2 linked regions of the Neurospora crassa OR74A genome follow. The protein of the gene in region 2 interacts with the protein of the main gene of each other region in a pairwise test. Links are inferred from orthologs where the notes say so. Each region holds a gene or a part of one and is shown on either strand. Other genes may lie near its edges.

Region 1 (4,305 bases), on a different chromosome or scaffold from region 2:
GCTGGGGAGTCATCTGGTCTATCATCTCGTTGGGCTTCATGGCCTGTGGCATCATTGCCGGTATTGCTGCATTTCCGCAAACGAGAGCGCAGCAGCAGGAAGATTCGCAGCATTTCATTCCAACCAAGTTCTGAGGATGGATTCTGAGGATTCGACATGTTCGAGGAAGGAAGCATGTGTTGGTAGCACAATTGGCGTTGGATCATTGAAAGTCATCATATTGTGGAGACATGGACCAAGAAAGAGCCTGGATAGGCAAGGCACGGTTGAAGACGTGAAGTTGGTGATACCCGTTGGCTTTTGTTTAGGATCGTTTGGACGGAGGGCTAAACAACACAGCAAACATTGTTCGTTTCGTGCATAGAAACGGGCGATGTTGATATACTACTACGTCTTTATGGTCTTGACCCTCGTTTTACCAGACACGAATCATTCTCTTTAAACGTGATATTGAGCGCAATCCCTATTTGAAACCCATTGATACATCTACATATACCTTATGTAAGATCCAAATTAATCTCCACGACCAAGTCCTTTTGTAACTTGGATCAAGAAAACCTGACCATCGAAAATGCCCTTCACCTTTGTCATTGGATAAATTCTCTCGCACGGCTGATAGGAAATGGCCCAGTCACGGCCACGTTGCGTATCTTACTGGTTCTACCAGAGAGCATAAGAAGCTTACTGGCCATCAAAATTGTAGATATCACATTGTTCTACAAAGTTTATCATCTATACCATATGCACTACTCTAAGACGATAGGAAATCGAAAGACTATGCTGCGCAGTAACACACCACCCCTCCCTGCATGCACCATAATGTCACATCAAACCCGAGTCAAATCATCTCCCTCTTATCCAAGAAAAGCAACTCATCAAATTCAGTTCATTACAGATTGAAACCCATCATTAACACCACGCCATCCCAGTCCCATCATAAACACATCAAGTTAGATCAAACAAATAGTCCTACCAGACATCTAAGCCCTCCACTCCTTATCAACCTTCTCCCACTCATCCAAGAAACCCTTGTAGAACTTGACACCAAGACCGGGGTCCAAGCTACCAGTCGTGGCACGGATACTGTGCATGCTCAACTGGGGAATACCGACATCCGCCGCCTTGACACCCATAGCACTGCTGAGCATAGGGCCCACGGTACCACCGGACCGGCTGTCATTGCGGATCATGTGCCTCTGGTTGACGCAGCCAGAAAGCTCGGCGACGCGGTCGAGGATGGCCATGGACACGCTATCCGTGGTCATGTGCGCCGAGGCATCGACACAAAGGGCCACACCGACGTTCAAGCGAGGAGAGTGATCGGTCAGGTTGGTTTGGGTAAAGTTGGGGTGGGCAGCGTGGGTCACGTCCGACGAGACGAGGAAAGAGTTGGCGTACGTCTGGCCCATGAGACCGGGGCCGAGGCCGGTGCCGCCGATGAAAGCATTTTGGTAGAGAGTGTTGGTGTTGGCAACGAGAGCCTCGACGGTGCGCTCGATAACAATGGGGAGGAAGTTACCGCGCGCACCCTGGCGGAGGAGGGAGCCAATCTCCTCGTCGTCGAAAAGCGCTACGAGCTTGATGACGCCAGAGTCCTCATCGTCACGGGCGTGGAGGAGGGCCATGAAAGCGGCCCACGAGCAGAGCTTGTCGTCGATGCGGCCGGCAAAGATGAACTCCTTGTCGATACCACCAACTTGGGCGGGCTGAGAGTCGTAGAGCTCGAGCTCCCAGTTGAGAATGTTGGTGTAGTCCTCAAGCTTGAGCTGGGAAGCAATGAGCTTGACGAGCTTAGGAGGCTGGGTAGAGACGAAAGAACCCTTGGGGCCAATGGGCTTCTCGGAGGAGGCGGTGGAAGAGGAGTTGAGGTCGCTGTTATCGAGGCCAATGATGGGGGTCATCTCGGTCTCCTGGTTGTTGTGGCCCGTCATACCAATGCCGAAATGGGGAGCCAGAGTAGGGATACGAGCAACTGGAAAGTGTGTGTTAGCTTTCATCGGATGGAATTGGGTTGGGGGGAGTCAACATACTGGGCCAATCAAGCTTGACGACCTTGGTAGAGGTCTTGCCCGTCTCGGGATCCTTAACAATGACACGACCACCGATGCTCAAGTCTCTGTCCCACCATGTGCTGTTGAGAGCGCCGGCATACTGGGCAATGCCGAGCTGGACATAGCCATCGTGGCTAGGCTTGGTGCTGATAGGCTTGAGGCGGGCTGTGAGGGCGTCGATGTGACCGGCGACCATAGCAAGACCGTTGCCTGGCTTATACGCCTTGCCGACGGCCCAGGCGATGATGGAGCTGCCATTGCGAGTGGTGTAGTACTTGCCGCCGGGCTTGATCTGGCCAGACCAGGAGTCTCTGCTGTGAAGCTACAAATTACAAGGCGCTTAGTCAGTTTCGGTCCTTGTGCCTCGGTTGTGGTATTTCAACTGCGGGAGGGGGGCTGGGAAGCTGTGACGGCTTACCTCTTTGTAGCCGGCCTTGTCAAGCTTCTCCTTGAAGTAACCAACAGCGTGGAAAACGGTTGGGTTCTCGGTCATGAACTCGAGGTATGGCTTGGTGAAAGCCTCGGGCTTGATGTCCTTGGCATTGATCTGGTTGGCAGCAACAGGCTGCTGGGGCTGCTGAGGAGGAGCGTAGTATGTTTGCGAGGCCATCATGGACTGCTCGAGGGCTTGCGCTCGGAGAGACATCATGGATGTACGGGCAGCGAGATATTCGGGAGTGGCGCGGACCATTGTGTATATCTGGGTGATGCGGATGGATTTGTATGTTTTGGAGAGAAGAGAAATGAGAAGATGACAGGGAGGAACAAGAGGACGAGATGATGACACGCACGAGATGGCAACAGAAAGGAAGGCGGTCGGTCGGTGAACAGCTTCCACTTACAAAGGTGTACATGTACAGTAGGTAGCTACCTCTACCGGCTATAGGTTGCAGCTACAGCCTACAGCTACAGGGTACAGCACAGCGAGTAGGCGGTACCCCGGTTGCCAACAATCCGTCCAGGTGACGCGCTTATCACTGGCTAGGCGGTTCTGGGCAGCTGGAGTCAGCTACATGGTGGGCTCGGTGGGGTACTTGATCCCATCAAATGAGCTCTTTGATAGGCCGGATTTGGCCTTTGATGTCCCCGCGGCCCCAACCCCCGGCTCCTGCCTCATGCCAGGGCAAGATCGGCGCTAAGGTGCGCTGCAGTGATAAGCAGCCCTGGGTTAGAGGTCCATCGTATAAGGCAGGTAGAGCTCTCCCAGCTCAGTTGTACATTTGCACATTTGATTGACCTTCACTTCAATGACCATGATGAAGCAGAATACGTACAAGAAAAGCACTTACTAATTTCAATCCTTTTTGATCCTTAACATCTCAGAGTGAAACTGTTCGCGTCCATAGTCTTTTGCTTCTGTCAGTCAGCATCAATCTTGTGTACCCGACGAGTGTTTCATCAAGTCATCCGCTTGCGTCCAGATTCACTCGTCGATACCGCATTCCTGAGATACCTCACGGAATTAGCAAACTCGGTCTCATATTCTAAGTCGGATGGGTCTTGCTCACCGGACATATGGTGCTGTCAAAAAGATTACGAGACAAACACATCAGAATTGATCGTCCGTTCAAGCATGCAGAATAGTCGAGCAATCCATCAAGACTCTGAATCATCAAAGTGAGCATTCCAAACTGGTACATGACAATCTCTCCAATACATGTAGTCAGGTCAGTCGGATATGGTACCCGTATCCGTGCTCTGTTCACTTGGCAATACCAATAGCGACATGTGCTGGATAGAGCTGAGGTTCATGCAAATCTATCATATTTGTACGACCTTGCGATAGGTGTTCACGAACACAGCTGGATTATAAGGCAAGTGTGCAAACAATAAAGCATGAGGTAGCCCAAGTTCTGTCCAGTATATTCCGGTCCTGGCACGATATCTCATTGTGAAGAGTGAAGTTGAATAGTGAACCCATAGGGAGATTTGAGCACGAGACTGACCGTAACACGTCCTCTGACATTATCTTTTCGAGAGAGTAAAGAGTATGTTTGAATATCTACCAACAGGCGAGCTTGAACATAGTCTTCAACTCCATTCCCCTTTCTGCTTATAGGGCACATTTGGTGTAGATATTCGTACATCAGTCGTCGCAAACTGGCCTATCGACAAGTGCACTCATCATCTGAAGCTCAAACTCTTCCACTCCAAGATCTCTTTCGTTCCGAATACAATATTTGCACGCCGAGAGACGATAACTTCTCGAACAACCCAGACACGACTCCACCAGGGGCGAGAGAAGAATTTGAGA
Region 2 (4,438 bases):
GAAGGCTTGACGTACAAATGATTTGGGCATAATTATCATTTTCTCTCTGTCTCTGTCTTTCTCTCAGTCTGTACGTGTATGTGTCAGATGCTGTCAAGGTTCCATTCTATGTCTTGGTTGTCTGATTTTTGTTCCGAGATATCTACAATCAAAACCACCTTGACAGAAATGGGGGCCAAGCGCTACGCGGATTACCTGTTTGTACATCTCCGCCGGCATGCACTCTGTTAGCGTGGTACCGCCACCTCGCAGAATTTGACTGGTTGGCGGCAGGCATAATACCAACCGTTCTCTGTAGGAAAACCAAAGTTATCGCCACATGCAATTTTACCGCGCTGACAGAGTATTCTAGTGTAAATGCTGGCAGAGGTGTGAAGAGAAAAGGCGAGACTTGCGGAAATACGACCCGGCGGAGGCGTATCTGATTCGCTATTTCGGATTGGAGGACGGATGGACGCTATTGCAAGCAAGTTCGCAAACTTTACCTTGAAGATGTAAAAAGAAAAGAAGCAGAAGAAAGACAAGATCATGTAGTTCAAATTTCGGCCAAATCGAGGCCTGGAAAGTGTAGTGTGTTTCACGATGTATGGTCGGCCAACGCGGTTGCTGAAACGGGACAGGAACTGTTGACGGCTAGGCATGTTGTCGTGGTTCCTCGTCGTTTGAATGAAAAGGATCGACCGACATGCGTGTAATGCGTGCGTGTAATGCATCGACATTTCGAAACTTTCCAGACATGTTGGGGTCCAAATTGGCTGTTGCTGTACAAGCCGCTGCCCTGTTGCACTCACTTCATCTTTCTGCTGCAGAGTGCAGGCCGGAAGGAAGGAAGGAAGAATGGGGTTGACTGCCCAGCCGCAGGCAGGCGGATCAAATCATCCAAGTCAGCCCAGAGCAGGGATCCAATGGTGAACATGTGAGTGACTTGGATCCTCCCCGCATTGCGTCGGGTTTGTGCCCCCCAGACCCCTTCCCTTTGCCCCCCCCCCCCCGTGTCCATACTTGCTGTTTTTCTGGTGTTTCAGGCGTGGCTTGCAGTGGATCTACCCCGGCCACAACCTGAACCCTCAGCCCTGACAGCACAAACGAGCAGGAACAGCTCAGCACCTGCGCCGCACTAGAGGTACCCTAGGCGGGCGGGGATTAGACACACCACCACCGCCCCGGCCCTGACTCCCCCTCCCCTCCCTCCCTGACCACCTCAGCAGCCCGACCTCCTCCCCAGGCTTGCACCAGGACAGCCAGAACCACCTACCTATCTCGGGGCCAGCCAGCTGCCAGCCTGCCATTCAGCGCTTCGCCTGGACAGCGATGGAAGGAAACATTAGGTAGGTTGGCGGGCAAGAGGACTGGGTCCGAGAACCAACCCCCCCCCCCCCCCCCCCGTTGGTCAGTCCCGCCGTCAGTCCTCTTGCAAGTGTGGAAGCATTTCCTCGTTTCCTCCCACTCCTAGACGTAGTTGCTCCTTTTGCTGCTCCTCCTCCATCATCATCATCATTATCATCCTCCTCCTTCTCGACCCTCGACCCGCGATTGACCCCTCCCCCCCCGCTAGACGTGTTCGCTGGCCTCGCGAGCCGAAACCATACGATACCAATACCAATACCGTCCATTCCAGTTGGCTCCAATGTGTACAGCACTTTCGTTAGTTTCGTCAGAGATATAGCCAAACATACAGACGCTTTAACCTTCTTCAACTACTTTTGAGAACCTGTTGGATGACTTGTCGTGTTATGACCTACGCTTGAACCATACTACCTTACCTACCGACGATTTCTAAACCTACCTTGCCTAATTCCTCTCCTCGAGCTTATATCTGCGCCCGCCCTCCCGGCAAGATCCTAGAATACTCGTTTCCCCGTCCCCGTCGACTGCTCGACCCCCTATCAAAACACCATATACCCGCACTATATCAAGATGGGCGGGGAATCAGCAACTCAGAGCAAGCCCATCTCGGCTTACCCGCTACGCGCACCCAAGCCGGTCGGCCAGTACATCACCAACATCTACAAGGATCGTATCAGTCAGTTTTACGCAAAGGGACAATGGGAGCACAACAATCTCAACGCCATGATGTACGAGGGTGTCGCCGAGGGCGAGCCCCATGTCAAGCTGTTCGTCTGGGATGCCCCCGACCAGGATCGACCAACCTTTGACGAGGCCGTCAAGCACGAGTTCAGAAAGACAGAAGTCGGCGCTCGATTCGGCCCTGCCTGGTCGACCCACTGGTTCAAGGTTGTCCTTACGGTCCCCGAGGACTTGCGCGATAAGAGGCTGCTCGAACTCCACTGGGACGCCAATAACGAGGGCATGGTCTGGACGCACGATGGCAAGCCGCTGCAGGGCTTAACGGGCGGTGGTGAGCGTACCGAGTGGATATTGCCAGACTCGTTCCGTGACGGAAAGGAACATATCATCTACATCGAGATGGCCTGCAATGGCATGTTTGGTGCAGCGGGAGGGGGCGATATCATCCAGCCTCCTGATCCAAACAAGCACTTTCGTCTCGACAAGGCCGAAATTGTGGCTGTGAACCCCGATGCGAGGCAGCTATACATCGATATCTGGATCATTGGTGATGCGGCACGCGAGTTCCCGAGTGAATCGTGGGAGCAGCATCAGGCGCTGAAGACGTGCAATGAGATTATCGAGGCCTTTGAGCTCGGCAATAAAGACTCGCTCAAAAAGTGTCGGGAAATTGCTCAGCAGTACCTTGGTCCGGACGTTGACTCGGCCAGGGTATACGACACCAAGAGGGGAAAGGCACCGCTTGTTTTTGGTATCGGCCATTGTCACATCGACAGTTGCTGGCTATGGCCCTGGGATGAGACCAAGCGCAAGGTAGCTCGATCTTGGTCTAACCAATGCGACCTCATGGACCGCTACCCAGAACTCAACTTTGCTTGCTCACAAGCACAGCAATACAAATGGTGCAAGACTCTATACCCCCATGTCTGGGAACGTGTCAAGAGCAAGGTGGCCGACGGTCGTTTCCATCCTATCGGAGGTAGCTGGGTTGAGCACGACACCAACATGCCCAGCGGCGAGTCCTTGGTCCGGCAGTTCGTGTACGGCCAGCGTTTCTTCGAGAGCAACTTTGGAAAGAGGTGCCAAACATTCTGGCTGCCTGACACTTTTGGCTATTCCAGTCAGCTACCCCAACTCTGCCGCCTCGCTGGCATGACTCGGTTCCTAACCCAAAAGCTGAGCTGGAACAACATCAACAAGTTCCCCCACACAACCTTCAACTGGGTTGCCCTCGACGGCACGCAGGTCATCTGCCACATGCCCCCTTCAGAAACCTACACCGCCGAGGCCCACTTTGGCGATGTTAAGCGCAGCATGTCACAACACAAGTCTCTCGACCAAGATCATACGTCTTTGCTCGTCTTTGGCAAGGGAGATGGAGGTGGCGGCCCTACGTGGCAGCACCTAGAGAAGCTTCGTCGCTGCCGCGGTATCAGCGATACTGTTGGTCTCCTACCGCGGGTGTCTCTGGGCGGTTCGGTAGATGACTTCTTTGATAGTCTCGAGCGGAAGGCTGATTCGCTGGTTACCTGGTTTGGTGAACTGTACTTCGAGCTGCACCGCGGAACATACACTACGCAAGCGAACAACAAAAAGTTCAACCGGAAAGCTGAGTTTGTGCTGAGGGACATCGAGCAGCTCGCAACGATTGCCTCACTCAAGGACAAGGACTACAAGTATCCAAAGAAGGAAATCGACGAAATGTGGGAGGCAACACTGCTCTGCCAGTTCCATGATTGTCTCCCTGGCAGCTCAATTGAGATGTGTTATGATGATTCGGATAAGGTATGTTTGGGCTTGATTAGTTTGTTCGTGATGAAGGATTACTGACTTCCCTTCGACAGCTCTATGCTCAAATTTTCAAGACCGGTGAGAGGCTCTTGAGGGATGCATGCAAGGCATTAGGCGTTTTCCAAGTAGACGCCACGGGCGTGGAGCGCGGCATTGCCCTGAACACTTTACCCTGGTACCGCGAGGAGCTTGTTGAGATTTCCAAGGGTGATTTTGCCCTTGCCAAGGGTGTAGGTCCTCTCCTTAAACTCCAGCAATACGAAATCATGCAAGTGGACGACGGGGTCAAGCTCCACAAGCTATCCAACGGTGTTTTCGTCCTCGAGAATAAGCGACTCAAGGTCCGTGTCGAGGCCGGCACCATCACGTCCCTCTACGACAAATACGACAGGCGCGAGGTCATCCCTGAAGGCCAGCGCGCCAACCAGTTCGTCATCTTCGACGACAAGCCGCTCTACTGGCAAGCCTGGGACGTCGAAGTCTATCACCTCGACACGCGCAAGGAGCTCCAGTCCAGCGAGACCCAAGTGCACGAAGAAAAAACGCATCGCGTCAGCGTCATCACCAAGACCAAGATCTCCGAGCAATCCCACATCTCCACCATCATCAGCCTCTCGGC

What was found. The genes of interacting proteins can lie anywhere in the genome.
Region 1: the proteins of gh38-1 (region 2) and NCU04192 interact in binary tests that used the Saccharomyces cerevisiae proteins (3 or more experiments, as listed by UniProt). The link is inferred for Neurospora crassa OR74A from reciprocal best matches to the Saccharomyces cerevisiae genes AMS1 and APE1.

The regions. Positions count from the first base shown.
Region 1 is NC_026505.1:5,157,055-5,161,359, reverse strand, and holds NCU04192 (vacuolar aspartyl aminopeptidase Lap4), read right to left. Parts: upstream 2,884-4,305; 5' UTR 2,743-2,883; coding exon 2,470-2,742; intron 2,374-2,469; coding exon 2,031-2,373; intron 1,973-2,030; coding exon 981-1,972; 3' UTR 646-980; downstream 1-645. Other genes in the region: NCU04193 (hypothetical protein), read left to right, coding at 1-134. UniProt on the Saccharomyces cerevisiae protein: Resident vacuolar enzyme that catalyzes the removal of amino acids from the N-terminus of peptides and proteins. Also acts as the major cargo protein of the cytoplasm-to-vacuole targeting (Cvt) pathway.
Region 2 is NC_026501.1:6,051,036-6,055,473, forward strand, and holds the start of gh38-1 (alpha-mannosidase), read left to right. Parts: upstream 1-1,448; 5' UTR 1,449-1,917; coding exon 1,918-3,813; intron 3,814-3,872; coding exon 3,873-4,438. UniProt on the Saccharomyces cerevisiae protein: Degrades free oligosaccharides in the vacuole.